3 linked regions of the Mytilus edulis genome follow. The protein of the gene in region 3 purifies or fractionates together with the protein of the main gene of each other region. This does not show direct contact. Links are inferred from orthologs where the notes say so. Each region holds a gene or a part of one and is shown on either strand. Other genes may lie near its edges.

What was found. Proteins that work in one complex are often made in the same cells at the same time.
Region 1: the proteins of E3 ubiquitin-protein ligase RBX1 (region 3) and F-box only protein 22-like purify together in Homo sapiens (affinity purification with mass spectrometry; 4 studies listed by BioGRID). This does not show direct contact. The link is inferred for Mytilus edulis from reciprocal best matches to the Homo sapiens genes RBX1 and FBXO22.
Region 2: the proteins of E3 ubiquitin-protein ligase RBX1 (region 3) and F-box/WD repeat-containing protein 8-like purify together in Homo sapiens (affinity purification with western blotting; 6 studies listed by BioGRID and IntAct, with this or other methods). This does not show direct contact. The link is inferred for Mytilus edulis from reciprocal best matches to the Homo sapiens genes RBX1 and FBXW8.

Annotation. Positions count from the first base shown.
Region 1 is NC_092347.1:84,613,070-84,620,764, forward strand, and holds the start of F-box only protein 22-like, read left to right. Parts: upstream 1-4,458; 5' UTR 4,459-4,527; coding exon 4,528-4,625; intron 4,626-6,681; coding exon 6,682-6,814; intron 6,815-7,394; coding exon 7,395-7,593; intron 7,594-7,695. Other genes in the region: interaptin-like, read right to left, coding at 4,277-4,350. UniProt on the Homo sapiens protein: Substrate-recognition component of the SCF (SKP1-CUL1-F-box protein)-type E3 ubiquitin ligase complex that is implicated in the control of various cellular processes such as cell cycle control, transcriptional regulation, DNA damage repair, and apoptosis.
Region 2 is NC_092349.1:74,090,653-74,099,151, forward strand, and holds the start of F-box/WD repeat-containing protein 8-like, read right to left. Parts: upstream 3,238-8,499; 5' UTR 3,102-3,237; coding exon 2,595-3,101; intron 1,829-2,594; coding exon 1,724-1,828; intron 370-1,723; coding exon 205-369; intron 1-204. UniProt on the Homo sapiens protein: Substrate-recognition component of the Cul7-RING(FBXW8) ubiquitin ligase complex, which mediates the ubiquitination and subsequent proteasomal degradation of target proteins.
Region 3 is NC_092351.1:23,908,862-23,917,374, reverse strand, and holds the start of E3 ubiquitin-protein ligase RBX1, read right to left. Parts: upstream 3,614-8,513; 5' UTR 3,551-3,613; coding exon 3,455-3,550; intron 1,976-3,454; coding exon 1,948-1,975; intron 1-1,947. Other genes in the region: uncharacterized protein, read left to right, coding at 4,980-5,101, 7,493-7,896. UniProt on the Homo sapiens protein: E3 ubiquitin ligase component of multiple cullin-RING-based E3 ubiquitin-protein ligase (CRLs) complexes which mediate the ubiquitination and subsequent proteasomal degradation of target proteins, including proteins involved in cell cycle progression, signal transduction, transcription and transcription-coupled nucleotide excision repair.

The DNA of each region.
Region 1 (7,695 bases), on a different chromosome or scaffold from region 3:
TCTATATAACACTTTTTTTTTTGTAATATCCAATATAGTCAATATCTTTTAAGTTTGTATGTATCAGCTTGGGGATCGGCTTGTACCGTTGTGTACAAATGTATGTAACTATTTGTTATTACACAAGACGAAAGACTTGTTAGGATCACAGTCAATTGAAAGAAAATGCTAATTACTGCTGATTAATGTTGATGTCTGAATTCTTTTTATATATGTTTTAATATAATTATACCCAATAATCTGGAAAAAAATCTTGTACACCTTTTACATTATAATAAAAATCATAAACATTTATGAATTACAATTAATATACTGTATATCTTTATTTTTATTCCTTATCCTTATAAATATTTTTTTGGGGGGCCGAATTGACTGTACATATGGGCCGGATTGACGTGGGACGGATCGACTTGGGCCGGATCGACGTGGGGCTGGATCGACCCGAAAGCTCACTATTTGGAAGTCCGCAAATTTTGACAAAATTCTGCGCCACTTGAACTTTTGATACCATACAACAATCTCTTTTCCATTGTGGTGTCAGATATATTCCATTGTGACATAACATTCACAGGAATCTTTATGTTTATCATTTCCAGTAATGTCTGACAAATAGAGATAAGGTATATAAACATCCTCCTGTATATCCTCCTCTCGTGGGTTTTCTGTGATAATGCATTATAACGTCACACTTACAATTGGAAATAAGAATTCATATGACATATAGGAAAACATTTGATCTAACCATACATTTGTGAGACATCTTTTTCTTCTTCTTTAGGTTTCTAGCGATCCTTCAATTATTGAAGATTATTTGCCGGGCGTCGACTATAAAATTTATAATTTACATTTTAGCAGGGAAAAAAAAAAAATCAAAAATAACAATATAAATAAAAAACAAAATAACGTATGTACATTCAAAAAAAAAAATTTTGATAAAACTATATACATTTGATAACAGAATAGTTAGGGATAGAATATGGGGATGAGAGCAGATTCTGTGATCATACTCTTAAATCCCTCTACTGTACTGCATGATACTATTTATTGTGGCAGATAGTTCCAATTTATAATTGTTCGTGGATAAAAAGAATATTTATAACTGTCTTCAGATGTTTGTATTTGCCTAAATGAGTGCGGATTGCTATGTCTGGTTCTATTGTCTAGTGGTATCAAAAGGTTATGTGTAGGGACTGCAACAATTTCATGAATAATTTTGTAGAAGAAAACAAGTCTGTAACGTAAGCGCCTAATTGCGAGTGGGTACCAATTTAGGTCTGTCATCATTTCAGTAACTGAGCTGGTGTTATGGAAGCGATTGCATGAGAAGCGTGCTGCTCTTCTCTGAACTTTTTCGATTTGTGTAATTTGCTGTTTTTGATGTGGATCCCAGATTGTTGAGCAGTACTCTAATTTTGGTCGGACAAGAGCTTTATATGCATGTGCTTTAACTTTTGGAGAGGCTATTTTTAGGTTTCTACGAATAAATCCAAGGGACTGATTTGCTTTTGATGTCATGTTATCTATATGTTTGTCCCATTTTAAATTTGATTGAAGAGTTAGGCCTAAATATTTTGTAGAGTCAACTTTTTCTAGAGAGTGATTGTGTAATTTATAAGTGAAGTCTAAAGGTTTGCGTTTTTGAGTTACACTGAGAATGTTGCACTTATCAGGATGAAAATGCATGAGCCAGTCCTGCTCCCACCTGCCAGCCGCTTCTAAGTCAGACTATCTTAATGTGCTATGTTCAATATATTCTGCCAAATCGTTAATGAAGATTAAAAATAAAATTGGACCAAGCACTGTGCCTTGAGGTACCCCAGATGTTACAGGTATTTTATTTGATGTTTCACCTTCAAGGACTACAGTTTGTGTTCTGTTTGTTAAGAAATCTTGAATCCAATGATATGCATTGCAATTTATACCGTAGAAACCAATTTTGTACATGAGGTGGTGATGTGAAACTTTATCAAATGTTCTAATAGTTTGCAGCAGATGCAAGTCAATGATATTGGGCGATATTTTATTGGATCGTGTTTGTCGCCTTTTTTGAATGCTGGACATACACTTGCGTGACGCCAGTCATCTGGGATCTTTCCAGAGTTGAGTGATGATTGGAATATGATTGTTAAGATGGGAGTGATGGATGATTTACACTCTTTTAAAATTTTACCATGGATGAGATCAGGCCCAGCTGCTTTGTTGATGTTAATGTTATTTAGAAGTTTTTCTATGCCCTGTTGTTGTATTTTAATATCAGGCATTTGTGGATGTTTACTGGCGCCCTTATCTGGTATTGGGTCATCTGTTACAGGTGTGAATGATTTTTTGATCTGTTCATTTAGAATGTTAGCTTTCGCTTTTGAGTCAGATGTAAGTGAGCCCTCTTTTTGGAGTGGTGGTATATTAGAGCTTTCAGACTTTTGTGTTTTTATATAACTGAACAGATTTTTTGGGAAGCTCTTTGATATGGTAGTAGTGTTGTCATCAACTGGTATACCACATATCATATTTTCAATATAATTCCAATAAGATATTCTTTGTTGTTTTTGTATATCATGTTTTAATTTTTTGAGTTGGTCTAGTTTCCCCTTGCCTTTCAATTTGTACTTTTGATATTTTTTCTTATACTTTTTCATTTGTCGTCTAATACTGTCTGTTATCCATGGTAAATTTTTGCTGTTTCTCATCATTTTCTGGGGTATGTTCTCAGTGATAGTGTTTTGTAATGAGTTTTTAAATGTTAACCAAAGAGTGTTTGTATCTTCACTATCTTTTTTATATACGATCTTTTGATATATTTCATCGATATCCTCTTTTATTTTTTGCCAGTTTGCATTTTTATATTTGTATACTTTACGTGGCTCGGTTTGGCAACTTTTTAATGAAAGTAAACATTCTATATATACAATATCATGGTCTGCCTCCCCTAATGGTGGCATGGTTTCAGTTTTTTCAATGATGGCCGGATAATTTGTTAACACAAGATCTAAAATTTTGTCATTTCGAGTTGGTATGTTTACGACTTGTGCTAATGGATGGTCATTTATTATATCTAACAGTTGTTGATGTTGTTTTTGGTTTGCTTTTCCAGGGATGACGCTAGTTGTTTCCCAATTGATGTTTCCTAAATTAAAGTCCCCACCAATAATTATGGCTGACTTTGAGTTTGCGTTTATTCTGCTAATGGATTCATTTAGTAAATCTAAAGATGTATCATCATCTGGCTGAGGTCGATAATAAGCACCTATATAACATTTACGTGCATTTGATATCAATAGTTCTACCCATATCATTTCACATCCTGTGTCTAGTTCTTTGAGTTCTGTACATAAAAAATTATTTGATATAGCTATGAGTACGCCTCCATGACATTGTCCTTTTTTATTTGGTGGTCTATCTTTTCTAAAAACTGTGTAATGATCTTTTGAAAAATATTCATAAGAAGATGTTTTAGGGTCTAGCCAGGTTTCAGTACCTATTATGATATCAGGCTGTGTGGTATCGACCAAAATATCTACTTCTGGTTTTTTGTTCTTAATAGATTGAAAGTTGATATTTACTATTTTTAAAGGTCTGAGTAACTTATTTTGGGTATTTATACCTTTTTTGTTTTGTTTTCTGGTGTCCTTTTGTGATATTGGTGATGAACAAGCATGTGGCTGTCCAGGACTACCAATGTCGCTTAACAATGAAAAAGAATTGTTTGTGACTGATGATGATATGTCAGTATGGTTGAAGAATGAACTGCTAAAGTTTGGGAGTCCACATTTTAAACAATTCCAGGACAGGTTACTGTTGTCCATTATGTTATACATTGTTGTTTGCATACCTCCTTGGCAGTCTACATGGTACCAAGTTTTACAAGAGTCGCACTCTAGAGCTTTACATTTCCAAGTGACATTTTTGCCACATGAACCGCATGGCCAGCGTGGCATTCTAGGGCCTGGGTTGAGTTCTATTTGACCACTTAATAAAATTTTTAACAACAAGTGATGGTTTTTCAGAGTTGCATGTAATGCTTTATTGCAGCAGTGTATTTTGCATGAATGATATAGCCAGAAATACATGGATACAAATTTGTTCTCTGTAATGTTAATTTTTGGAACAAATAACAAAGCATGATGATCTTCAGTGTCTTTTGGGTAAGATTTGATAAAGGGTGATCTACCTGTAGTTTTGCCATTTTCTAATGACACAAACTTATGACATTTGTACAGTACAAAGATTTTTATTTAGTGTGAAAATTCCACCTATCAATTTCAGAATCTATATCTACCTGGCATCCTTTGAGGCTGTGTGGTCCACCTGAAATGAGTGTACTTGGCTGGATCGACTTGAAGCTGACCCCATTCTGAACTGTCGAAACTGCTACATGGACGCCGCCATTTGTAAACAACGTCTTGGTTACTTCGGCGTCTCGAAAGCGCTTCATTCCAAATCAGTAACTCTTTCTTCTGAAGGTTTAAAAGTAACTCAAAATGAAAACAAAGCTGAACGAACTAATTTAAACGTGTTTCTTTTTAAGATATGGAAGAGTGTCATGTCTCAGAAGTGCTACGTCTCCCAGTGATTCTTTATAAAATTTTAAGTTTTCTTCCTTGCAAAGCTTTAAACTCGTGTTCAAGGTAAATTAAATGCAATACACCAGTATATATTTTTTTATAAGTACAAGATAAGAATCATTTCACATTTGACATCTTACTGATGGTGGGTATTAGTTATCACAAGGACGTATAACTAACATATATAACTAATATACGTCCTTGGTTATCCGAAATATTTAACATTGTTCATGAGTGTATTTGTTATAGTGATGTTGCACCCTTTTATTTATCTTGTTATATGTTTTTGTCTTAGACTCAGATCAACCTCCGATCTATTCTTACATCTGTTCTTATAATCGATATCAAAGTCTGACGTTACTTTCTCAAATCATTATCCGATATTTCAGGATAAGAATGCCCTTTACCGTCAGGTGTCAATAGATTATTTCTGCGAACATCTGCGTAAAATTTGTAAAAATTCTACCGTGATTCGTCAAAATGTTCTTATCATTATTCTTCATAGGTCTCAAATAATTATCCAAATGGTGAAGTTGAAATCTTTCTTAGTAAATTTTCCGGACGCCATCACAAGTTTGTTGACCTTTATGGAATTACCGTTTCACAAATGATATCAGAGATGTTCCTTATGTCGCTACTTCAATCCCCTTCCCTTTTCATGAATGTAACCTACCGAAATAGACTATTTACTGGATTTGTATTAATATGAGCAACATGACGGGTGCCACATGTGGAGAAGGATCTGCTTAGCCTTAGGAAACACCTGAGATCAACCCCAGTATTTGGTGGGGTTCTATAATGTTGCTTAATCTTTTTACTATTATTTGTCTATTAGTCTTTTTCTTTTATCATTTTATAGCCATGGTCATGATGGTGCTGTCAGCTTATTTTCAATCTATAAGTTTGACTGCCCCTTTGGTATCTTTTGCCCCTCTCTCATATATCTAATGACTCTGTAGTTGGGCATGTGACATACCAGATTTCAAGCTGCCGTATTTTCTGGCAATGAAAATACAACCATACATGCCATATGAAATAAGAGACTGCAAGAGGGTTAGAAAACTATTTATTTAAAAACAAAAGCAGAAATGTTATACATTTATAAATCAAATTGTACATTTTAAAACCAATTTCTATACTCCTCTTCAAATGCAGTGAACAGGATTAATTAAATTGGATGAATGTTTATGCCACCCCCCCCCCCCCTTACAAGAGGGGGCATTAAGTTTTACCCTTGTCCCCTTGTCCTTCTAGATCTGTACATCCACCCGTCCCAAAATTGGTTTTTCGTTTTTTCTAACTTCAGTTTGCTCAACTAAATGTTTTGAAACTTATACATAATGCTTATTACCACAAACCACAGATCAAGTTCAAATTGTGTTGGCTTTACTTTTGCTGTTCTTGAGTTGACTAGCTACAAAAATGTAACAATTATTAAGGCCCTACCAAATGGCGTGTCGCTTTATGGTGATTAGTTCATCTGTCCATATGAAACAAATTGTGTCCGCTCTATATCTAGAGAACCGTTATGATTGCAAAGTTTATACTTGACATGTACCTATATTAACAGACACCTGGAGAGGATGTGTCATAATTTTTGTACAACTTCCTAGGTCAGAGGTTAAGATTTAAAACTTTTGTTCTAGTTGACGACCCCATGTCCTCTTGTAGAGTTCATGTCTGCTCCTTATCTTTAGAACTGTTATGATTTCAAAGTTGATGCTTGATATGTATATTAACGAACTCCAGAGGGTTTGTCATAATGTATGTACATCTTCCTAGGTCATAGGTCAAGGTAAAAAACTTTGGTTTCAGTTGACAACCCCATGTCCTATGGTTAAAATTGTGTCCACTCTTTATCCTGAGAACTGTAATAATTTCAAAGTTTATACTTGACATGTATATTAACCAACACCAGAGGGTGTGTCATAATGTATGTACAGCATCCTCAATGATCCTAGGTCAAAGTCAAGGTTAAAAACTTTGGTTTCAGTTAACAACCTCTTGTCCTATGGTAAAGATACAAATTTTTACCACATGGGCCTACAGAGATGGCTCTTATCTCAATGAAAGAGCCCAAATAACATTCAAGTTTAATATTTAAAAAAATTGATTTCAGAGTATGTAAAGTCTGGAGTGAGTATGCAGCAACTATTAAGAAAAAAAGAAAGAAAATAGAATGGATGTCATTAGAATGTGATGAAGAAGAGGGTCTGAACAGTAAAACAGAAAACTTGTCTGCCTTCATTGAGGTATTATTGTAAAAAGTGATAGATTTTATTAGAGGTTTTATGTTATGGCAGTGTTTATGGGTTTTTTTGTCAAACAGTGAACATTGTATAGATTTATTTTATATATTTATGCTTTCATTTATAGCAGATATTGTGTTAACTATTGATATCTAATTGTATAATGACCTAACATATTGAGTAGTTGACCACTAGTTTTCTAAGGAGTATGCAGCGGTTGGAAATATAAAATAACACTATGTTTTGTTTTAGTTGTTGTTCAAAACATTGATATTCACACTTGTTAGCTGAGCTAATTTTATATCAATTTTTCCAGTCAATCAGATATCACACAATTAAAAGGATACAGTTTAACTATATATATCTATAGATAATATTTAAAAAAAAATATATAATTGCACTTTTTTGTGGGAACCCAAAATATTTTGAAAAAAAGACTTTAATACTTTGTAATTTCCCATTGCAATATGCTGAATAGATCTAATGACTTGGGGAGGGTTCATTTTAAGTTTGTTAATGATTTTATTTAGATTGATAAATTTAACTTGGATTTATTGCATGTTTTGTGCATTTGTCATTTCAGCAACTATCTAGTGAACCAGATCATGTTTTAATGTTTTGTACATCCAGACTCTATGAAACTCCAGTCAGTTTACCATCATCTCATCCGACAAGGTTTCCACGCAATGCAAAGTGTGAAGCTGTCGAAGTTACCTCCTTCGTTGAAAAACTTTTACCAAAAATATGCCCAATGTTTGCATTAGTTGCAGATGGGGTTGTAGGTTTGTATATATTTGAATTATTAGGTGCTCTAATATAAAACACAATAGTAAATGTTCAAATTATTAAACATTTAAGAATGTTAAATACTGAATTTTTAAATT
Region 2 (8,499 bases), on a different chromosome or scaffold from region 3:
CATAAATAACCATCTTATAAAATTCTTGTTATTTCTTCATATTGTTTGAAGAAAAAAGAAGTGCCAATGTTTAATGTATATATTAGAGATAACCATTTCCTGTCAAATTTTTAACGCTTGTATCTGGAAAAACAATGACACTGACCTTAACTTATTGCTTTTTCTATGTCTGACTTTAGTTTATAATAATTATTATATATGTACCTTCCAATTATATACAAGTCTTCTTTCCTGTTCAATATGATGTCTAACTACAGTCTTCCACTTGGATTTATCTACAGCATCTGTATCTTGTTCATAACCAAGCTTGTGACAAATTCTATTCCATAATAACTCATCATCTGCTAAACTTTTCCAACTCTTTGAAACCTAAAATAACAAACCATGAGTAAACTATTAAAGTCATTAAGGAAATTGACAACACAAAAAATATTAAATAATCAATGTGTGTCATGTGTCTTATAAATAAAGTAGATATACATATAGAGTAAACATCAACACAGAAGTAAACCAAAAACAAAATCAGCCTTGTATCAACATCCTGGTTTTAACAAAAGTATATATTTGTATCTGAAACAAAAAAAAATATCATTAGAGGTTTATCATGTTTATACATTGTATACATGATATACAGCAAGGGTCCAGAAACAGTCATATTTGCCAATCTTGTCCTAAACTGAAAGTATTTTGTCCTAAACGTGTAATTGGGATTTAGGTCAAATTCTATTTTTCAACAGAAATAATTTCGGTCATTTCTTGGAGATCGAGTTTCAAAATCACCATTTTGAAGATGTTTTTGTTTTGTTATCGATTTTATATAATTAACCTGCCACTCCAGTAGAGTGTTATAATCCTGAGGGCCCTCCTAATAACTATATTTAATGCCTCGGGGAGCTATTGGCTAATGATTGCTAATCTCTTTACCTGTGTTTTTAATTCACACCTGGTTATTAATCACAAGCTCTGAACTAATATTATAAAGAAATTAAAATTCCATACCAACTGTCTTCGTTATTTAATTACTTTTCAGCTTAGACAATTGTCAATTATGATTTATTTGAAAAAGTATTTTTTCACTACTAACACACGTGCTTTGTTTACCATGTAATATGCTTGCTTGAAATGCCCTTCCGCAGATTAGACACTAAATCGTAAATTTAAAATGATTTTATGCTAAATAAAGCAAGTGCAACTATTTTCATTAATATTCTTACACTTTAAAAGGTAAAATATTAAAAAGCTGATGATTTCCTGTGAATTTGATAAAAAATACTATTCCCGGAAATTAGTCTTTACATTTGGTTTAAATATCGACTTCAGAATCGAAAAAACATAAGCGATGACAGAGAAAATTATCGTTTTGAGTCAATAAAATCATTTTATTTTTAAACAGTTGCCTTCCCTTAATTGCTCTTGACCGATTTTAGGAAAATGGTAGGATAAATCATGAAGTAAATGCGATGCAACAGTAAACAAGTTCGTTGATGCTACGAGTATGAGCATACTGAGTAATGAGATATAAAATTTGGTATTCGTTGAACATTTAATTTCGTGTTTCATCTGTTGCCACGAAATCCACGAAAATTGTCCACAACAATGTCCAACAAATTATAATGAATCCACAGTATCAGGATGAAAATTTTTCTAATTTCAAATTTTACACCAGGTGCCAACCATATAATAACTACATATAAATATACATGATATCATTCATTGCACTCACCTGAGAACATCTGCACAAGTCTTTGAGATCAAGAGGTTCAAATATTTTTATTGCAACCTCCCTTGGGACTGTCAGATCAAAAAATGGAATTTCATTTATTTCATCCTAAAATAGAAATTAATAAATTAAAAACAACAGCAAATTGATTTTTATTACAACTCCAATTTGGTAATCAGTTCAGACATGTTAGAAGACAAAAAAAACTGTTGATTCTTTTCTATTACCTTCTTCTTGTCTCTGTATGAGTCTCCTTTAATTAGGAGCACCACCATGAGTTATGGCGTAAAAAGGAGGACATTTGGAGCCTGTATCTGTACAGATTAGTGTGAGCATTTGCCTACCCAATTCCCCAGCCAGGCTGTGACGGGTCTTATTACCAGAAAGTTAACCTTCCCCAAACATAATATAATGCAATAAAATAAAACATACTAAACTCACACACTCATCTGATTCGATCAGTCCTCAAAGTATAAAAAAGTGCAAAACTATATACATAAAATGGAACAAGGTCAGCTTGGATGCCCAACAAATGCTGTGGCAAAATACGCTAAAATAGTAATGAGGAATCGGTTAGGACAAAATACATATCAAAACCGACACTTTACCATAGAAGCATGTTTATATAAAATATGAAAATGCTATTTGATGAAATTTGCAAGACAATCAATTTTGATGTTTGGTTTCAATTCTACGTTGTTGTGAGAACTAAGATTTATATATAGGAAAATGTTAACATTTCCTCCAATGGAAATCAAATTCTATTGGTGTATCAGCATTATTCATAGTATTGGAAATATATATATATATAAATGTAGATTATGTAACACTGACAAATGTTGTATATTCATTAACTCTATAAAAAATATCTTACCAAATCAGCAATAAACAAGTCTAAATAGCTCTCTTTATCAACCTCCTTTCGACCTTGTTTATTGGAAAAGATGTCTTTCACGTCTTCCTTTCTGAATGCATCATATTTTCTTTTCTTCTCACAGGTGCTTGTCACTTTAGTATTTGATAATAACTCTCTTTCCGGACTACAACTTTGTTTGATGTTATCTTTTGAATTAAGAAGACCATCAACTATTTGGAATGGGTAGAACTGAGTGTTGGTTTTATGTTCTTTATTTTGTTTATTGACAAATAAACAAGTATGGCACTTGTTATTTTCCCTAAAAGCTGGGTGAACTCTGCACTCAGAACAATTTGTTGGATTGGAATTCGAGGTATTAGATATATTTTCTGGGAGGACAATATCGATTGCTAATGTAGGAGCAACAGCTATTGAACTTTGTCCTCTTTTATCTGGAATGACATTACTCCCTTGAAGTTCGTTTTTCCATTCAGTTCGGAACTTTTCAAGGTCATTTGATGCCATGCTATGTGAGTATGAAATATAAAGTTAACAGTGCATATGTATAGTTAAACTTTCAACGGGTCAAACTCTAATAGATAACATACTTCAATGTACAGCTGTACATGTGATACTGTAACGTTTGTTTACGTTCGTCTCGGAAGCTCTCTAATTCTTCATAAAAGTTCGATCAATCCGAAAAGACTTTTTAGGTCTGCCCTATTACCATATGAAAATTTAGAAAAATTCAGACAACTATTTCCGTAAATTATAAGACCGCATGATACAAATATTATGAAGGTCTTTGTGGGATTATCAGAATAGAAAATAATGGAAAAAAATAACATGTAGACAAAAATGTACAAGCGTGGTCTAGTGGTTAAGACCGATGGCTACAGTGCTGAAGGTCCCGAGTTCGATTCTCACTCGGGGTGCTAAAAATATCAGCACATCAGAAGGGTAATTTTCACCCTCTCACACACATCTCTGGTACCCAGACCGGAGTTTAAACTAGAATGGGTACTTTGGGGGCCTCGGTTGGTCAAAGTTGTCCCTTACTTTGACCTGGAGATCAATCTTCTGATATCTCTCTGGTTTGTCTGTTTTCCACCGAGTGGCCCGGTGGTTCTCTCCGAGTACTTCGGCTTCCTCCACCATAATAACAGACTGCCCGGTGTCCTAGCACTCCCTTTGTGTTGGGTGGGGATTGATTGTCCTTGTAAAAATAATTGTCGTATAAACATACGTTAGTGACACATCTCCATTAATCCCGTTAGGGAGTGTACATGGATGCCACTGTACCCTCGCAGTTTTCGAGGGGTTCTTCGGATATCGGAGGCATTTACCAGTACATACATACATACATACATACAAGCCAAGACAGGAATATGACAGTTGTTTTCGTTTGATGTGTTTAAGCTTTTGATTTTTGCCATTTTATAAGGGACTTAAAATTTCCTTGGAGTTCGGTATTTTGTGTAATTTTTGATTTATAATAAAAAATATTTTACCTTTTTTTCTTCAAAATTTCACTGTTAAATTTGATTTGAGCTTCATTGGGATGTAAAATTCAGCACCCAATCGTAACTACTCGGCCATTCTCGCTACGCAGTACAATAGCCTCGTATGCACTACGGAGAAATTCTTCTTAAATTGTTGGCCGGAATTGTAGTGATCCGCGACACAAAGAAGTTCTATCCTCCAGGTGGCGCTATAATTTGGTTACATATCACAGTAATCAAGAACTTTAACTCTGCCAAATATTTTGGCGCGAAAGAAGGAGCAAAGTAAATAAGTAATGGTAAAAAATTTGTACCATTCCAGTCGAAAAAATATAAAATTCAATCAGATCGGAAAATTTTCCGGACAGGAGCAAGTTAAATCAGTAGTGGTAAAAAAAATGTACCAGTCCAGTCGAAAAAATATAATTTTGAATCGAATCGGAAAATTTTCCGGACAATGATTCCTCCGCCTAATGCATACGAGGTTATTTCTTCGTGCAACCAGAAAGGCCGAGTTGTTCCGATTGATTCAGCACCAACAATCCATTTGCATGTTTGCAAGTGGAGACATGTGCTGGCTTTGCTCTAGTTACAAACAAAAGTAGATAGTACTGGGGTGCTGGTTTTGAGATGTAGATGAATCAACAATATTTCATATTACAATTTTCCCCCGTATCTTCTCCTTAAAATGTATTTTAATCGGCATTGTTTTACATGAAGCACGTGTAGAGATTAATACTTTTACAAAAATCATTTTAAAGGAAGAAGGTAATTTCCCTGTTAATATTTTTTTTTCTTTCAATAAACAATTTTTTTGATTAAAAAATAGCCATGGCACTTGTTATCTTGTTATCTTAACTTTTTACCCATTAGCTTCGCAGTATTAATTAGAGGATAGGCGGATTTCTCTTAACCCTAACCCTAACACATCATAACCTATCGTACTGACATAGATTATTTAACTACGAATTTGATTGAATACGACATGACAGATTGAAATGAACACAGCATTGACATAATAAAAGTATCAAACACAATACAACATTTAAAACCAACACATAGACTAAGTTAGTAAAATCATGGATAACTTGTATTTGTTGATGTCACAATCAAGAAAAATGGGTCGGGATTTTAGGCACGAAAAGTGAAGAATATCCGTGGTCATCTATATCACAGATATATTCCATACAGCAAATCAAATTATGATGGTGTCCGTTATTAAATCATCACTGAAAGAATTACTTACTTTTTACATTTAGGAGCCTTGATACAATAGCTTCGAATTCCTTGTAAGCAATAATGCTCCATCGAAGAAATCATAAAGTAGAACGCAAGCTAAGGATATGTATTCCTACAGGAATGTAGCTTGCTACATAACATAGAAAGTTCAAAATGGAGTAATTAAAATTATTTTCTTTGCCTTAAATTTAGCTCTCAGCGAACCTTCATTGTGAATATCTAGGTATAAGTTTTTATCATATAGTATAAACTTGAGAATGGAAATAGGGAATGTGTCAAAGAGACAACAACCCTACCAAAGAGCAGAAAACAGCACAAGGCCACCTATAAAGATCTTCAACACTATGTGAGAAAATCACGCACACAAAGGCAGGCTTAGACCTATTTGTATATGTGATTTGTCTGTTTCAAGTTTGAAAGGATCAAGTGTGAATTATTCAGCGAGAAGGATCGTCGTTATAATGTGAGATGAAATAATAGATCATATCAGAAGAAAATGACCTCAGTCAATTGGTTCCCACATAAATTCCGACTAACTGTTAGAAAACACGTCCTCCAAACGTATCAAAAATGTGGTCAGTAATAAAAATCAAGCATCGTAATGATTATTGTCAGTTTCACAGTACTCAGTGTTTTTGTGTGAGGATTTATCTCTAGCTTCATGAAACCTAAAACAAAATATTCGTATCTGTGTTGACAATTTTAATCATTTTTAAATCTTTCTTTGTAGGAACTAATTGGTAAGTTGTAAATTTGTTGGGCACAAGATGTTTGCGCTTTTTTTTAACCTGTAACACGATATGACATCTGCGCTCCACAGACTGTGGTCATCTGCCCTTTAAATTTTGATACAATTGTAGTAAAATTCGCACTGACACCGTCTTAGTTTAAACATATTTGTTTATAGGGAATTGGGAAAACAAGTTATTTCAACTTATATCAATCCCTTTCCACTTTGCGGGTGCGAGTGTTGTCTTGTAGCGGCATTAGCCTACTCTTTTTCGAAATCTACAAGGGTATCTTTTACGTGCAAGCTGAGATATGGCTCTCTCTTAACATGGGTCAGCCATTTAACGTCCCCTTCCGACGGACTAGAATCGATTCCTTCGAAGACCATACTCGTAAATGATGTCAAGGGAGACACAGTCTCAAACATTAGAGTATAAAAATATAGAGACAAGTACAGGAAAAAATGTTTATGTCACGATGGATTTTTACCGTTGAACAACAGTCGGCTTATAATATTAGCATTCGTTATATATTGACGAACAGACATGTCAGTCAAGAAATGAAAAAAAGAGACTAGAATCTATAATACTAAAATTACGAGGTCCAATTTGTCAGCCGTCATCGGGTAAAAACGACAAATCAAAGAATTCAACTCTATATATAACTAATATAGGACAATGGTGTAGATTAAAAATTACACCACTCCAGACCCTTTTGTTTTCCACATAATTAATATTGCCAATAATTAACAAGTTCCGGGTCGAATCCGATACCGATACCAATAGTATATTCACCTGTCAGCTATTACCTTATCTGTACGTTCCGCATTTGACAGGCGCACCACCAAACGGTGTATTTAGGATTTTACTATATATACGGGTCATAATCAAAGGGCTGACACTACTAAATTCAATCATTGTCAAATTGTTCCCTATTGTAGTTTTATTCAGCAATCAGCAAGACTTTCTAAGATAACTAATATAGGACAATGCTGTTGATTAAAAAATACTCCATTCCTGGATAGCCAGGACCTTTTGTTTTCCAAATAATTAATATTATTATAAATAACTGATAAGTTCCAGGTCGACGGGTTCAAACAGAAAGATTTGAAAGCAGAGAAAACTTTTTATCTTATAATCGACATGACTTTATCAGATGACAATACTAATTACTAAAATAAGGCTTAGGCATAGTTATATACTTTAATTCAGCCACGGACCCGCGATATCACGGGTGTGTACTTGTATATAATAAAAATGAGGGGAAAATACCAGTCAGGACAGATTACAAAAGCAAAATTGTTTATTTCTTGGGCTTCAGATATTAGGCGAAAACTGGCCTGTGATAACTTTATGTGTCTTTGGTGTCTTCATAATGTCAAATGTTCACTTTTAGGTATACATATAACTATATCAATGCGCTATAAAATTATTTTTAAACGCGAATGTGTTATAGAATGTTTAACTTTTAACCATAAAGAAATATTGTAAAATCGCAAATGTCTTATGAATTGAAGCGCGAATGTACATTAAAAAAAGTGCAAACGTCCCGATTTGAAGCCAGTGAGTTCATGGAGAAGAACAAAACGTCTCCGAAAATGATAATAAAGAACTGAGGATCATTCAAATCGAGAAAAAAAATAACTTTAGTAGAAACAGAAACATATATGTCTATGGTAGGAGTTTTTTTTTTTTTTTATAAAAATGTGTTTTATGTGAAGTATAAAGCAGAATTTTCAAATTGTGAAAAAGACTTTTGATCTCTTACTGTATATACTGATATGCATTTGTACATTAAATGCAACTAAAAATGGTTTTGAGAATTGTTCTGTATCGAAAACGTACTGAAACTTTGACATTTTTAGTTATTCCGAATTTTTGCATTTTTGGCGGATCCAGGGGGTGGGGGGTGGGGGGGGGGGGGGGGTCCGGGGGTTGAAACCCCCCTTTTTTGGCCGATCAATGCATTTGAATGTGGACATATAGTTGGAACCCCCCCTTTTGTCCTGGGTTGGGAACCCCCTTTTTAAAATGGCTGGATCCGCCCCTGTGATGTTATGCTATTGTTTCATAAAAGAGAGAAGGTTTGGTACCATTAAAACGTTTAATCCCGCTGCAAATGTGTGCACCTGTCCAACAGTGGTTGTCGTTTGTTTCTGGAGTTCATACATTGTCATAAGTGTTTCTCTTTTCTCGGTTTTATATAGATTATACAGTTGTTTTCCCGTTTTTAATGGTTTTTACACTAGTAATTATGGGGCCCTTTGTAGCTTGCTATTCGGTGTGAGCCAAGGCTTCGTGTTGAAGGCCGTTTTTCAATTTTCATCCTAGCCCCCCCTCCCCCCCCAAAAAAAAATCAAATGGTAGCTTCCACATTGTATGAATTTCACTTTATTATACTACATGTCATTCTGCTGATGAGCATTGTTTGCTGACATGAATGAATGAATGAAT
Region 3 (8,513 bases):
TCAACTACTTAAGAAGTTTTGTAAACATTTATATATATGTAAGTCATGTAAGTGATCAACAGTTTTTCCCGGTTAATAAATATTCTTAAAATGGGAAAAGAGTGATATACATGTGGGGCAGACATTTCAAAGTTATCATGAATTGGAACAATGTGTTCAAAAGTATCAGTCGATTGATTTTATACAATTGTATATAAAAACAAACTCGGAGTCAATTGCAGCTGCAGAGAAAAGATGAACTGGAAAAACAAAAAATAAAGAGGAAATCAAGTTTTACAGAATATTTTTTTCCTGTCATTCACGGAGGCAAAAAATTCTAAACAAGTTCGACAGGACAAATTAAGGCCTAATACATTATTTCTGGAAAAACAAAGGCCGATGCCAATAATCTTCAATGAAAGCTTCGTTAATACATGTACAGACCTTCTAAAATTCAAACTGACCATTATTCCGTGCGTTCATCGTGTATCGTGCGTGTTGCGTGCGTGCATCGTGCGTGTATCGTGCGTGTAACAATCGTGCGTTCATCATTCATCGTTCCGTGTATTTTCCGTGTAACGTGCGTGCATCGTGTATTCTTAATCGTGTACATGTAATAGATAACAAAATGTTTGACGAAAATGTAATTTAAACCTTCAGCGCATCAAAAAATATTTTGCCTCTGAGGCGTGGAAGCAACTTAAAATTCGGAAATTATATATTATCAGATTATAGGACTATAGTTTACAGGGACTGTATATTTCATTTTCAATCAGTACATGTGCATTTATTATATATTATCAGAGACGTCTCTGATATTATTAACTTATAAATACAATTCGAAAATATTATTTGTTATACCAATTCCTTGCCTTCACTCATTCTACTCGAAATCCCCATATTATCGATAATTTCTGTATATATTTCACGTTTAATTCCCGATTTGATTGCATTTTATTATAAAACCGGATGTGGGTACGCGTAGCCTACGAATGTCAATTTGACTATTCGTACCCACATGCGGGTACGCGCAGACACTGCCTATTAAGAAGGGATATAATTACGATACTGTTGTCAAGTCATTAAAGATTGCATATTTTGGCGTTAATATTGAGTCACTGATAAGGTCTTTGCATCGGAACTAAACACATTTATTCTAAAAACAGTTGTTGGCATGACACGGGTTATGTTCTTCTCATATATGTTACGACTATGATAGTATGATACTAAACCCCTAACGGGAAGGATTGTGCCTGATGTTCATATGATGAAATCATAATCTTTCAGTCAGTTTAATTGAAGTCTGGAGCTGGCATGTCAGTTAACTGCTAGTAGTCTGTTGTTATTCATGTATTATTGTCATTTTGTTTATTTTCTTTGGTTACATCTTCTGACATCAGACTCGGACTTCTCTTGAACTGAATTTAAATGTGCGTATTGTTATGCGTTTACTTTTCTACATTGGTTAGAGGTATAGGGGGAGGGTTGAGATCTCACAAACATGTTTAACCCCGCCGCATTTTTGCGCCTGTCCCAAGTCAGGAGCCTCTGGCCTTTGTTAGTCTTGTATTATTTTAATTTTAGTTTCTTGTGTACAATTTGGAAATTAGTATGGCGTTCATTATCACTGGACTAGTATATATTTGTTTAGGGGCCAGCTGAAGGACGCCTCCGGGTGTGGGAATTTCTCGCTACATTGAAGACCTGTTGGTGACCCTCTGCTGTTGTTTTTTATTTGGTCGGGTTGTTGTCTCTCTGACACATTCCCCATTTCCATTCTCAATTTTATATAGCTAAGGAACACTGAAAACATTCACCACTTAGGACTGGCACATTAAAATATGTGACAGATTTGAAGAAAATAACTCCTGTCTGAATTCAAATGTAAAACTTCTATTCATTGATGTACTTCTAATATTCATCATCATGTCCACCTGAACTAATTTATCACTTTAATAGTGTACATACCCCAGGCCCATAAAGCTACAGCATTCCACTGAAATAGAAAATATTAAAAAATATACTTCTAATATACAAAATGGACAATCAAGTTACAATATGACAGATACAGTTGTATGTAACACTATCATGACTATTGATATTGGGTGTACAGGTTTGCAATTCACAGGCACTTGTCTCAGAATTGTTTTCCCCTATATACCTTTAAACATGTTAAATAATATAACACAAGGTACTTTAATACATGTAACTCACATTTTTCAAAAAATGTCACACGGTCACAAAATTCTGTTATATTTCAGTTTCTCGGTTGTCTTATTTGAAATTAGCTGATTTTTTAACTAATAAAAACACTTGCTATCATCATGATCATAAAACATTGTTATCACATGTAGGAGGTGCGCTTTTGTAGATTTCATACCATAGGCATAAATTAAAAAGGAAATAAGTGGTTCCTACAGGGTGTGTCTTTTTACCACCAAACATCACCGAAAACCACTGAACATCATAAAAACCACCAACCACTAAGATAAACTGTGATATTATACAATAAACATGATAAAATGATAAAACAAATTAAATTAGGTATAATTTAAACAATTTTTAGATTTATATGGGCATCATTTTTATGTTAAAGTCGATAATCAATATAAGGAAAACGTCTCAGGATTCATCACTTTCCGGATTACATTGTGTGTGTTAATATTCATATTTAGTAATCAGTTCAAGTATCCTCAATCTCTGTTCTCGGTTAGATTCTGATATTTGTCTATTTTCTTATTATTGGGACAAATGTTTTATAGAAGAGATAGAAGAAGAAAAAAACGGAAAAAAATATATTTGAGGTGTCCATGGGGGTCTGCAGAGTTCAAAAAGTGGGGTGTTATAGACTCTCCCTTTCTGTTTTCTGTAGATTTTTGGACTCTTAATCTTCTGATTTGTTAAATTAATAACTTGAATATAATATTTAAGACACATTTATAATGATGAAAGACAAAATAATAAACTTTTAAGGTGTTCGGTGGTGTGCGGTGGTGAAGAGACCTACCGGTCCCTATATCATGTATATATATATATATATACTGTTTTTATAACACCAGAAAAACTGGAGTGTACTCTGAAAACAAGGAATACCCAACTTGTCATGACTTGAGCTCAACCTGAGTAAGGCCCTTTGCTTTTGGCCAACTCTAAAATTAGTCCAAATAATTATGACTTCTTTGGAGTCTTGGAAGGCTATTTTTAATTTTTGCTTTGACGTCTTACGACCATGTTAGGCATCAAAGAAAAAAATATAATAGCCTTTCAAGATGTCATACTTATTTGGACTACTCTAAATGTATCTATGATATTAATGATTATGTTCATAATTGAGCTTTCCTTAAATGTTTAATAAAATGTTTCGTATTTTCGTATTTCTAAAATAGTAAAAATAGAACCAACAGTAACACTCAAGATGCGTAGATATTATTTCCGAAAAAGGAATGAGTTTGTGTAAAAGGTCGAAATGTTTTACTTTTTTAACTTCGAATCTCTTCTTTCCAGCTTTGTCTGCTCCCAAACCTGAAGATTCTCCAAGATCACCGTCATCGACATCCATAGCAGCAGCCATTATTTATGAAATTTCCGGCCTTCTAACGTCATCGTCAAATCAGTGCTAAAGTCTTGAGGAGTACTGAAAATTAAATTTGTAGATTTTTATGTGTAACGAATCTGTTAGTTCTTCTGGGTATCAGGTCGTTCCGGCCCCAAGTCGATTCGGCCCATAATTAAAATGAATAATTACTATAAAGGTCGGAGAGTTTGTCAAGTTTTTGATTCAGCGTAAATGAGAAATTGCACATAAATAAAGTTCAGTAAATTTTACTGATTGAAGAGATATATTTTAGGATTGTTAAAACAGATAAATCAGAAGCACGCCGACACCTTTGCTCATATTTTTTTCTGAAAGAGTAATGACACTTGGAATTATCAATTGGGCCTATATGGATGTAAATGGACTATGTTGGAAATTCGAAATGTCATTATAGTAATCATTCCACATCCCAATGTAATATAAATGACGCCATGGTGACCGTGTTGACCCGAGACTACTCTTTGTCATAGTGGTCTCAGTGTTCCCTATCTCTGAATTTCGATGCAGGACGTTTCGCCAACAGTCATTTCGGCCACACTACCAGTTTGGCAACAGTCATTTCGGCCATGCTACCAGTTCGACAACAGTCATTTCGGTCATGCTACCAGTTCGGCAACAGTCATTTCGGTCATGCTACCAGTTCGGCAACAGCTACTGGTCATTTCGGCCACACTACCAGTTCGGCAACAGTAATTTCGGTCATGCAGCCAGTTCGGCAACAGTCGTTTCGGCCATATGCTGCCACGAACTGAGTTCGGACAAACTTTGTAAAGTCATTAATTGCGGCCATGATTTTTATATAAAAGGACGTACATGTTACGTATAACTAACATACGTCCTTGATAAAAGGTAGAAAAAGATTTTTTTTTTAAATTTAAAAATAGTAAAAAAAAAACCAACCATATTAGATAAAGATGTATTTTAATTCAGTAAAAAATGTTACAAAAATATTCGTAAAGTTCACAATCAAATTGAAATAACATTTTAAAAACAAGATAACTTGTTGATAAAAAGTGATGTATATTAATTTAACAAAATATGTTTATCCAGAAAAATCCTCCTTTTTCACAACCAGTGTCTACTGAGAAAAAAAAATTCAGCTCGGTGACCTTGATTTTATACATGTCTGACATTTTTACTTGGTTTTGAATCTATCACAAAATATACTTCATATTTTGGCTAAGTTTGACAAAATTCTTCCTTTTTTTTATTCTCTATCATACCTCTTGAATGCATAATAAGGCAAAGTATGACCGAAATGCCTGTGGACGAACTGGAAGTTTGGCCGAAACGACCTGTGGACGAATTGGTATGTGACCGAAACGTTTCGAACGACCGTCTTTCGTTTCGTCTGTAAATCCGTTAAATAATTTATGTACATGTTGGAACATCTCGGAAAGGAAACATGTCAACTAACCAAACACCAGCCTCCAGAGACCATAAACATGGTCCTGGGGAGACAGAAAGTGCGGTCAAAGATGGAAAAAGTCCTCCTAATCATCCAATATTTGATGCAATCAAATCTGGGTAATTTCAACATATAAATCCAACCAAATCGCACACATCCGTCTCTATCTCTCTTGCACATCATCTGAATCTATAAGTTTTACATGTTTCACTAATGTTTATGTTTTACATAGAATTTTGTAAAGTGAAGTAACCAATAATATAATTTAAAGGGATTCTATTTGTTAGATGAAGCAATGAAAACGTGTTCAAAGTTTTTGTTTAATTTAGAAATTACTGTTTGTTTACTATGTTGCTAGTCATTTACATAATTACAAGGTTTAATAATAGCTACATTTTGAGGTATATTGTGATATATTAGCTGATTGCACCATATTAGTGTCACCCTTGTGTCAATTTTATGCCCTATTTATGGACATTATGTTTTCTGGTCTGTTCGTCCGTTTGTCTGTCCCGCTTAAGGTTAAAGTTTTTGGTCGAGGTAGTTTTTAATGAAGTTGAAGTCCAATCAACAGTTGAAACTTAGTCCACATGTTCCCTATGATATGATCTTTCAAATTAATAGAGTTTTTACTCCAATTTCACAGTCCATTGATAGGGCGAATGGGGCATCTGTGTACTATGACACATTCTTGTTCAAATTATTTTGCAGTTTCTGCATTAATAAAATTGAGAATGGAAATGGGACAATATACCACCATGACCACGAATACTAAATCATACTTGTGAGTGCAGTTTAAAACTTCACAGAATACTAATTTGTTTTTATTAAACTTTTATTATTATTCTTGGTAGGATTGATTTTTATAGTAAAATTAAAACATTGAAAATTATAGGAAGCATAATGCTTCTTTATACATGTAGTATACATTGTTATACCTGTAAATTATTAAATTATCACGATTATCATGATTATTATCCAAATGAAAAATAAGAAACTGAAATTTCTTTGAAAAAATCAATAAACATCATCATGATCATGTGAAAGGCATTTGCCTGATTTTGATTTGTAAATATGAGGAAGGCATTTTACTTCAGACACTATTTAAATGTCACCCTCCCATGCAGATCAATAATGTATTAATAATTCAAAAGACAAGGAATTGAATTCACTATCAATTACTATTTAAAAGACAATGTTCAGTAAAAGTTCTACGTTTCGGCCTTAGGCTTTTTCATAAAACTGTTAACAAAGCATAAATGCATGTTGCTTAACTTTTATTTCTTTTCTAATGATGTGTTACTTTTGTATATGAAGTCATAGTTTACTACTTACCCTTATGATTTTTAAATGACAATACTGACTGTTGACAGAACATTTAGTTTGATAAATTAAATATCAAATGAACAGATATCTCAGAGAGTGATATTGTATACTTATTGACTGGGTATAAGTGAAATAGTAAGTTTTATTGTTTATTGTCTCCGAGGTGCAACTATTGCCCTGATGGGGGGTTCTGATCCCGGATCCTGCTTACTGTTTTGTCAGATTCACGTATCCGGCTTATACTATGTACCTAAGCAATTCTAATTTTTTTGTAATTTCCCGTGTCCCGCTAGACCTTAATTCCCGTTTTCATGGCACAATAATTTGACTTTCCCGTATCACGCTTACGAAAAATCAGCAATCCCGCGTCACGCTTAGACCCCAATGAGACCCACCTGATGCATATCTGAGGGGTCAATGAACTTACTGTTACATGAATATCCAGTCAGCATGGTCAGTAAGTGTTTTATTTGACCAAAGAGACATCAGACAATAAATGTTGGGGCTAAATCAACTATCGTATAAATATAAAAAACAAAAACACAATTATATTGTTTCATGTTTACTTCATTATCATATATATTCTGAATGGTAAAGCAGTTTAAACTACGTTCTGCACTGATAAAACCCTAGATAAAAGGGGTAAAACTCGATGTTGCAACCCCCACGGCATTCTGAAATTAGTCAATACTGTAGCTGCATTTGAAATTCTGCGATATATGATGACGTTTGCGGTTAAATAGTTTCACCGAGGTCCAATAGTTGGAAACTATTGACTGGTCCAATTAAGTTCTACGCTTGCAATTTGAAAAAATAATGAAAATATTGTGTACTTATTTTATATACAAAATGATGACTGAGGTATAATAAAGCAGATTGTTGCCTTGGTAGACAATGTTTTCACAGAGTAACTATCTGCTCTCTTGCCCTCTCAGCTAAGTCATGTTTGTGTTTTAAAAAAAAGCATATAATAGCTTAAATGAGCTGGTAAAAGCAGAATTAGCTATAATTTAACTGTTTACATTGTATACTCCTACATGGCCTACATTGTAGGTAATACTTTATTTGTTAAAAATAATGAAATTTGACTTAGTTTTCACCATAGTTATAAATATACTGTACTGTCTGGACGTACATGTACCGTTAAGGCTTAAACATGTTAAAAACTGTGATTTTTGTTTCAGTATGTTGGTACCAGTTCAGACAGCAGCTGAAGATGGACCATCAGTTTTCTCACTCCGAGATGACAAAGGACACACTCCTGCCCATTGGGCATGTCTTGGAGGCCACACTGTTATACTGCGATTCATCTTAGACAACAAAGGCCCTGTTGATGAGGCCAGCAATAATGAACTAGGAGCACGTCCAATTCATTGGGCTTGTGTGAATGGACATGTAGCAATAGTTGACATTTTACTTCAGGCAGGTGTTTCTATAGATGTTGTTGACAATAAAGGGTGTACACCGTTAATAGTGGCAGCACAATATGGACATACAATGTTAGCTGGTTACCTAATGGGTAAAGGAGCAAGACTACAGATAGTAGACAGGGATGGAGACAATGCATTACATTGGGCAGCATTTAAAGGTAGAAATTTAATAACATGGTCATAACATAGTATAGCATATTGTGTATTTCTTCAGAATCAATTCAATTAGGCAGCTTTTAAGGGTATAAATTTGATACACAAGTATGTTGTGTGTTTCATAAGAAAGATTTGATCTAAATTGTTGACAGAAAAATAAAAAAATGGGTAATAATAATAAATACACAGAAACACATGGATTAACTTTGTAGTAAGTTATTTGGAATACAAATAACCATAAGGTGAATACACACCACTATGTATGAATTAAGGAGATGGGGTATGATTACCAATGAGACAACCATCCAACAGAGTCCAAATGATGTGGATTTAAGCATGACTATCAATACTCTGAACAGTGGGCAAATATGGAGTAGGAGGCACTTGATTCATGTGTCCAAGTGGTTTACTACAGATGTGTTGCCCTTGAAGACAAAAGATATATACAAGAGGAAGCATCATATACATATGTACACTGAAACACTTCTATGAACTGTTTACTAAGGTTAAGTTTGAACGTACATGTATGCATGCATGTCAAAATATGAAATGAGGTGTGATGTGAAAAATATCATCAATATTTTTTACATCATTTTTTACTGATAATAGTTGGGATTTA